2 separate regions of the Mus musculus genome follow, and region 1 is reported to be linked to region 2. Evidence: microRNA targets listed by miRTarBase, many of them from high-throughput screens and not tested one by one. Region 2 holds a microRNA gene; the other region holds the end of a gene's coding sequence.
What was found. The annotated mature microRNA mmu-miR-199b-3p reads ACAGUAGUCUGCACAUUGGUUA and lies in region 2 at 3,158-3,179, shown strand. An mRNA with a match to its seed (bases 2 to 7 or 8) in the 3' UTR can be bound and repressed. Matches are read on the target gene's strand: a 7mer-m8 pairs with bases 2 to 8, a 7mer-A1 pairs with bases 2 to 7 and ends in A, and an 8mer does both.

Region 1: miRTarBase lists Jag1 as a target of mmu-miR-199b-3p. The part of its 3' UTR that is shown has no 7-base or 8-base seed match.

Annotation. Positions count from the first base shown.
Region 1 is chr2:137,079,147-137,083,538 of GRCm38, reverse strand. It overlaps Jag1 (jagged 1), which reads left to right. Exons shown (of 26, transcript NM_013822.5): 26 at 58-2,088. The coding sequence ends at 515. It also overlaps a transcript of Slx4ip not described here. Among named protein-coding and RNA genes, the nearest start is that of Jag1, 35 kb to the left of the region's middle.
Region 2 is chr1:162,214,726-162,219,117 of GRCm38, forward strand. Mir199a-2 (microRNA 199a-2) reads left to right here and starts at 3,089; the gene lies at 3,089-3,198. All of the region lies in intron 14 of Dnm3 (dynamin 3), which reads right to left. It overlaps Dnm3os (dynamin 3, opposite strand), which reads left to right and starts at 2,898. Exons shown (of 1, transcript NR_002870.2): 1 at 2,898-4,392.

The DNA of each region.
Region 1 (4,392 bases), not on the chromosome of region 2:
TCTGTTCCTATGGCAATAGCTCTTCTTGAGTTAACTGGTCCTTGGCTTGTCTTCCAGATTTCCTGGTTCCTCTGCTGAGCTCTGTCTTAACAGTGGCTTGGGTCTGTTGCTTGGTGACAGCCTTCTACTGGTGTGTAAGGAAGCGGCGGAAGCCCAGCAGCCACACTCACTCCGCCCCCGAGGACAACACCACCAACAATGTGCGGGAGCAGCTGAACCAAATCAAAAACCCCATCGAGAAACACGGAGCCAACACGGTCCCCATTAAGGATTACGAGAACAAAAACTCGAAAATGTCAAAAATCAGGACACACAACTCGGAAGTGGAGGAGGATGACATGGATAAACACCAGCAGAAAGTCCGCTTTGCCAAACAGCCAGTGTATACGCTGGTAGACAGAGAGGAGAAGGCCCCCAGCGGCACGCCGACAAAACACCCGAACTGGACAAATAAACAGGACAACAGAGACTTGGAAAGTGCCCAGAGCTTGAACCGGATGGAATACATCGTATAGCAGACAGTGGGCTGCCGCCATAGGTAGAGTTTGAGGGCACCGCGGGGCTTGTAGTTTCTTTAAACTGTTGTCCTATTCCAGTCTGAGGCTGTTGTTGACTTAGAATCCTGTGTTAATTTAAGTTTCGACAAGCTGGCTTCCACTGGCACTGGTAGTTTCTGTGGTTGGCTGGGAAATTGAGTGCAGCGCTCTCACAGCTATGCAAAAACTAGTGAATGTGCCCTGGTGTCCATTCCCCTGCCGCAGACACATCGGGCTCCCAGGAGCTGCCCAGCCCTAGGCCTGGAGCTTCCACATCTGCCAGCGGTCCTAATGGTGATGGCAGCCTTAGGATCATAGTTTTATTTATATTTATTGACTCTTGAGTTGTTTTTGTATATTGGTTTTATGATGACGTTCGAGTAGTTCTGTATTTGAAAGTGCCTTTGCAGCTCAGAACCACAGCAACTATCACAAATGACTTTATTATTTATTTTTTTTTATTGTATTTTTGTTGTTGGGGGAGGGGGGATTTGATGTCAGCAGTTGCTGGTAAAATGAAGAATTTAAAGAGGAAAAATGTGTCAAAGTAGAATTTTTGTATAGTTATGTAAATAATTCTTTTTTTATTAATCACTGTGTATATTTGATTTATTAACTTAATAATCAAGAGCCTTAAAACATCATTCCTTTTTATTTATATGTATGTGTTTAGAATTGAAGGTTTTTGATAGTGTTGTAAGCATATGACTCTTTTTTTTGTGAACTTTTCTCATAACGTGTTGCCTGTAAGCCAAAATTAAGGTGTTTGGAAATAGTTTCTCTTGAAAGGATGGGATAGGCTTTTTCCCCTGGGAATACTGATGGAATTTTTTTTTTTTTTTTTTTTTTTGTACGACGTCAGGTGTTGAAACACTTCCTTGATAGCATCACTTTAAGTTTAAGACACATTTTAAGGACTGACTGAGGCAGATTAAGAATTGCTCTAGAACAGGTTTCTTTCTTTCTTTTTTTTTTTTTTTTCCTCTTTCTTTCCTGCTTTAGACTTGAAAAGAGACAGGCAGGCGATCTGCTACAGAGCAGTCAGTTTTAAGGGAACAGACTGAGCTATATGACTTATGTAGCCAGAAAGTGACTGGTTGAATCTCATTACAAATATCAAATTAATTGTGTGAAGTTGGAAGCATCCCAATCTTACTTTGTAAATTCTGATTTATTTTCACCATTCGTTATGTAATGCTGAACCACTTGTAGACTTGATTTCGTTGTTGTTGTCTACTGCATTTAGGGAGTATTCTCATAAGCTAGTTGAATACTTGAACCGTAAAATGTCCAGTTAGATCACTGTTTAGATTTGCCGTAGAGTACACTGCCTGCCTTAAGTGAGGAAATCAAAGTGCTATTACCAAGCTCAAGATCAAAAAAAAGGCTTATAAAACAGAGTGATCCAGGTTCACCACCGGGACTGGGGAGATACTTGGTGTTTGTTCTATTAGTGTTATATGAACAGAAAATACATCTTTGATGTGTTGTTCCTGGCAATAAATTTTGAAAAGTAATATTTATTAAATTTTTTGTATGAAAACATGGAACAGTGTGGAGTCTTGTGAGCTTATGGAATCCTTGCTGGTTTTTCCATCCTGTGGTTGTTTGGCACTGCTCATTCTGCTCCATGTAGCATCTGAAAGGGGTGGGGGTGTGGGTGGGGGTGGGGTTGAAGCAAACAGCAAAATTTCTGAGTTCTCAAAAAACCCGTGAGGCTGCTGTGTAGGTGCGAGCTGTGGTGGGGGAGCCCCCGATTCTCTTGTCATTTGACAAGTGTGAATACTGCTGACATAGTGCTACTGGATTGCAGTGTGGAGATGAATGGTTTCGGAGCACTCACAGGGAATGCCCATTGCACAAACAGTGGTTTAAACAGCTTGGATTTGGCATTGAGCTGAAGGAGTGAGACTTGGCGCCTTCTCACTTTTTGGATTGGATTAATAGTGATTCCTTGCTGTCATTATACGCCACACCCTATGGCTTTATGTGTACGCTTATCCCCAGAGGGTCTCTTTGCCACAACGTGGGTAGTCTGATGTTAGGGTCCACCTAGTCACCACCTTGGCCCAGGGAATGAGTGTTGGGCTGCCTTACCACGCAGACCTTAGGAGCTGGGTATCCGACTTTCCAAGGGGGGCGGGGCGTGTTACAAGATCAAACTGCCTTCAATATCTGTAAATAGCAAAAGCCATAGCTCCCTGTGGCTCCAGGGGCCTTGCCCGTTCCCACACTGGGAGGTGCAGGAAGCTGGCCTCTGGTTCCTCTTCGGCAAGGGATGAGTTGTGGTGAAAGCCATGTGGACACGTTCCAGCAGCCGTGTAGAGTCATCAGGAGTTCCCTGTTTCTGGTTAGGAAGTCAAAGGTTACCTTTCTCAGAATGCTCTTTAGCAACCTAGCATCCAGGCCTGCCCACTAGCCCCTGGACTTAATGGTCTAACAAACTTGGTCACTCAAAGGTGAAGAGATATGCCCTCCTCCTGTACCCATCCCCCACAGGGAAGTTTTCTCTAACAGTCTAGGGGTTATTCTCAGTTAGGTAGCTCATTTCAGGATGGATGAAGAGTTTTAAATGTCCCAAATATCTCTGCATAGACAGACTATCAAGGGATTCAATGTCTCTTAACATCCCTAAGCTATATCCAACAGTGCTTTGTTTGGGTGCCTCACGAGGTACTTCAGAAGGAAGCAGCTAGTGATGAGTTTAGATTCCCACGACATCTTACCTTGGTGTAGCAATACCTTGTCATTAATCTCTGTCAGCAGACAGCTGGTTTCTGCAAGGTGGGGTTGAAGAGGGAGAAGCAGGGACCCTATAAGCCAGGAGACATTCTCGTTAGACAGCACCAGATTCCAATAGCATTCTGAAGTAATACCTTGTTCTGGTGGTTTGTAAACTTGGATTCTGCAGGACGCTAGAATTCCTTGGGTAGCTGCCAAGTAGTTTTGTGCCAAGGGGGGGGGGTGGGGAGGGGAGTTAATGAGCTTCTGCAGGCCTTCATTCCAGGAGGGAAGTGATCTTGAGATTCACGGATGTTGTCTTGACGAGTCTTTGGTCCCCGACATGGAGTCCTGGGAGGGCATAGGTCAGACTCCTGTGGGCACGGCTCAAAGCCAGGATCTTAATTGTGGAGAAAGAAGGAAGCCCGGGTATGCTGGGGTCAGGGGGTAGAAGAGAGGACTCTGGGAGATGTTCTAGCCCTTCTTAAAGAAGCTTTGGCAGAGAAAAGTTCCAGTCCCGAATCTCACTAGCTAAAATCCTAACGTTAGGGTATGTCATGAAATTCTGGAAAAGCATTACCCTGAAGGTGGTGGCGATTATTCTCATTGTCCCAAGTTTTTAGACAACTGGGGGCTGGGTTGGGGTAGGAGGCAGTAGGATATTTAACCTAACTAAATGCAAGTGGGATTGTCATGATAAGAAAGGCCTCCTGCTCTTTTGAATGCAGAACCCCAAGCCCAGCTCAAGACCCCATAGGATCAGAACTCACCAAAACTGGACTTTAGAATCTACATTTGTCAACAAGCTTTCTCCTCTGCTCCTTTCCCCCTTTGCTTACACACAGTAAAATTTGAGAACAAAAGTATACGCTCTTCATTAATTACAATGTTTTTCCTCCTTGTTAAATGGAATTAGATAGCCTGGAAGCGGGCTTGTTGCTAAATTACCACCTGACATCATTTTTAAGTAAAATGATTACACTGCCCCTTAAGCAAGCCATGGTCTGTATGATTCATCTTTATTAGCTGATCTGAGGGGTCAATGAGTCAAAGTTAACTTATTTAGCAACATTTCTTTGGTAGAAAGGAGCCAAAGAAAGAAGAGGGTGGGGGTCCCCACCTTCCTAAATAGTTC
Region 2 (4,392 bases):
TCACACCACCAGCTTGGGAAGGCGGACAAGGTGAGGAAGAAGGAAGCCTCAGGTGATGGAGCTAACTGTCATTGGGTTGGAGCCTGAGCACACGATAGAGCATTTAGCTTACATGCTTGAAGCTGGAGGGTCAATTTACTTAGTTAACTTGTACACAAGTTCTCTAATACAATAATTTCAAGCTAAATCATAGATCATTGAGGTTTGCATATCTAGATATCACAGACAAAAATAATTGTGAACATTAGTAACTCTGCTCTGGTCCAAGTACAGAGACACCAACTTTGAATCTAAGTATTTCGAGTTATTAAAATTAGCCAATCTGGGGAATGATGACCAAGAGGAAGGATGCTTCCATAACACTTTAAAGTTGAGTAAATTTCATAGTCACTCAAAGTGAGGGCATGGCTCAGACAAATGGCTTTCGAAACAAAGAAGCTAAATAACTGATGTTAAAACATCCGAAGACCAGTGTAGATGGCTCGCTTTGCCATCTGGGCCCATACATCTCGGGTGTTTGACTGGTAATTTTACAGGCATGGAAAAGTCCTCAAGCCAGTCCCAAAGTGGGGCTTCCTACAATAGCGTGGAGGCTTTTCTCACTGAGTGAGAGCACTAACATTGCTAACATATGTGAAGGTGAAAGGGGGTGGTCCTTCAAGCTCCTTCCCTTTCTATGCCTAGTCCTTCCTACTGGGCAAGCACACAAGTGGACAAGACCAGATCTGCACCCGCCCTCCCCAGCTATCTGTAGCAAGGACAACTCAAAAGAAAACAGTCCACTGGAAGTTAAAGTAGATAGTGAATGATTTTATAAGAATTTCTGAAGAAAATCCCTTATGATGCTTAAAAAAAAACTTAACTAAAAGCATAAATTTAGGCCCTTACAGAAACGGTATAAAGTCTTTATTTGGTGTAAGCAGAACCATTGAGAGGGTCTAGCTGTGTAAACTGAGACAAAACCATAGAGCAGTCTGGTCAGAACCACTTTTCATTTGCCAACTCCTGTTCCATGGACAGAAACTGAAGTGGGCAGAAGAAAGGCCTTCACTATGTGCAGCAGAAGCAGGCCTAACCTGGAGTGATGGATTCCAAGTGAACCACCTCTCACCAGCCCATGCCTTCTGTAGGACTTAGTACGACAGACATACTGAGGACCCAGCAGCATCCTCTTGCAATCAGACCATTAGGTCACACTTAGTCACCCTTCCATCATTTCCAGTAATCACGTAGCAGCCCTGAGGGAAACGGCAGCTGACTCACACTGCGCTCCCCTAACCACTCTCAAATAGTCCCTAAAGAAGGAGAAGGAGGCCGGTAAGAAGACACTAATAGGAAGCATTCCCCTGGCTTGCATCAACTATTTAATCCTGTGTCAACCTGGTGTATTTAACCTGACATAAACCTCTTTGCTCTATCATAAGCTTCTAGATAAAGTACTCTGACTTAATCTTCTTCACAAGGGCTTGGGACCACTTTTGAACCGTTTGTGGTACATCAATTTAAAAGAAACCATGTTAGGAAAAAATAAATAAGTTAAGGCGGCTCTCACTTGAAGCATTTTGAAACAGCCAATATAGATTTGTACATCTCAAAAGTGTCATAGAAGGCAGGTACAAATAAGTTGTTCGGGCTCTAATTCTTACAAAAATACTATAGCCCTTCATCCTGTGAGTTAGATTTAGAAAATCTCCCACATTGTGACCTCTACAAGGCCAATTGATAAAGCTCTTATTTGAGACAAAAATCTAATATCAATCAGAATACAGTGGAAAACAAGTTAGGGGACCTCATGTTCACAACATTCAACAGCCTACATAATTTGAAACAGTTAACAACTGGGACAGAGGACTAGAGGCCAAGCGAGCTGAGAGTTTGTAAGTGGTCAAGCTTCACTGGGCCAGTTTCAACAGATTTACTTAACCAGAGATAAACCTCATCATCAGAACACCATGTAAACAAAACAAAAGTATTCAAACAGAATTGGGAGTAGCCAGCAGGATAAAACAATGCTGTCCTTAACCGTGTGGCTCTACCAGAGGGAAATGTTCAGAAAAGAGCGGTACAGCAGTGTGGGTGCTTGAAGTCTAAACTTTTTAACATTTCCTTAGGTAAGGCTATAGAACGGCATGCAGAGAGCCAGCCAAGAGAGCTGAGGGAGGGAGACGAGGAAGGCCACATATGGAACTAATTACTCATGGAGAGGCCATGACAAAGAGCATTTCTCCAGACTTTTCATGGGGGCTTCACTTTCAGGAAGTTGCTGTAATTACTGCTCAAGTCTAGAGCAGCCTGCAAGCTGCTGACAGGTCCAGCAGAAAAGGAGGAGGAGGAGGAGGAGGAGGAGGAGGAGGAGGAGGAGGAGGAGGAGGAGGAGGGAGAAGGGGGAAGAGGAGGAAAAGAAAGGGGGGAGCCCCAACTTATCTGACCTCACTAAGGAGTAAAATACAAGAAAACAAAGTATCGCAGGAAAGTTAAAAAAAAAAAAAAAGGCCTCGAAGTTTGCCTGCTTAACAGTGTTTGACTTTCTGCTTACTGCTTTGTCATCTTTCTATCTTTAAATTACTTCTTCAGCCCAGATCAGGCAACAAATTTGTACTTCTACTCTCAACTCACTTTCGGTTGGCCACAGCAGAACTGTACATCTTGCCTTTTTTTTTTTTTTTTACAGCTTTTCCATACTGGGGCCCCACTTCCTGCCCAGTTGAGGGAAAAAATCTGGCCTGAAGATGAAATGACTGCTTAACATTACACGAAAACATCTGGTACCATTTTATGCACAGACCCATGTCTGAGAGCAGGCGATTCTAGCGGTCTCTCCAGCGGCACAGCGCATACCCAAACCTCCCCAGGGTGACATCATCCCATATATGGACTCTCCAGCCCAGCCCTCCCCCTTTTCCTGGTCCTAAATTCATTGCCAGTTCCCTAGTCTGCTGCAAATGTGCCACGTCAAGACTGGAAATCACAGCCCTTTAGTGTGTCTCAGTCGATGCAGCAGACAGGGTTCAGGGGGGAAGCTGAACAAGCCCCTGGTGCAGGAAGACAGGCTCTCCCCAGCCCCGGGACAGGATTTTCCACACACCGATGGAAGCTTCAGGAGATCCTGCTCCGTCGCCCCAGTGTTCAGACTACCTGTTCAGGACAATGCCGTTGTACAGTAGTCTGCACATTGGTTAGACTGGGCAAGGGCCAGCAACGCCATGGACGGCTGGGGACACAATGTGCTGCTTCCAAGGAGAGGACAGCTGGGTGCTCCTTTGTTGAATCTCATATCCAGTGTTTCTCTTCACAGGTTTTGCAAACTAGGGACCAAGAAGCCCTCAGGGACTCTGCCAGGGGAGAGGACTGCTCCAGGGAAGACCAGCGGGTAAGGCCTCTGGGATTGCGTACCTGGTCTGTGATTGGGGAACTAGATAGAGATCCCATCACCTGTGTGAAGACGCTGGAGACACTGAGCTAAGGGACAGATAACCGTGAACTTAACTTTCAAAAGAGCAAGGTCGTATGGTAAATTGTGATTTTCTGTGTGTTTTTTATAAGTCTAAATGTTGATCGTTCAAATGCTTTCTTAAATGTAAGGGTCTTCCGCTTCAAAATAAAAGGTGGGGAAAAAAACCTCACTCCAGACAAGTAGCAAAAACTGAACGAGACTTAGTTTTGAATGGTTGAAACTGATAATTCAGAGACTTAAACTCGAGCATGGATGAGCTATGTATGCAACCTCTAACACTCCAGGAATGAATGCATTTTGCCCTAAAGGAAAAAAATGCAATTTTCAAAACTCTTGTATGAACAGGGAGCTTTTCTGTTTATCTATATAATAGAAACACCAGAAATAATAGTACCTAACGATAAGAAGCAGTCTAGTCTTTTGTTTTTTGCTTTTTTGTTTTGTTATTTTACTATCAGACAATGCAAACGCACTTAGCCAGAGATGAGGGCCCAAGTGCCAAACCCACATCTTACTGACTCAGCAACTTAGCAGGCCAGGGGAATAGCGCTCTGTCTTTAGTGGGCTCACTAGATAACATTGAAATTGTTCTTCTAAAATCCAAGAATGGCTGATACTTGCTGGTCAGCTGAGCCTGCTGGCCCATCTTTTTTTTTTTTTTTTTTTTTTTTTTTAACAAGGCTCTCACTTGTCCTGGGCCTTTGAAATGATAAGGCACGTTGTCTAAAAAGATGCTGATAAAACAGGAATTTGTAAACGAAGGCAAAAGTTTTCTTTGGTCAGTTTCCAGCTGTCCTGGAGGTGAAGGAGAGTGGGGGAGGTAGGCAGACTGGAAGCAAGAAAACTTCCTCTGGCTGAATGAAATACTGAAAGAGAAAATACTAGAAGAATCTGGGTCACTAAGTAAGCTGGGAGGTTTGTATTGAGCATCAGCGGTG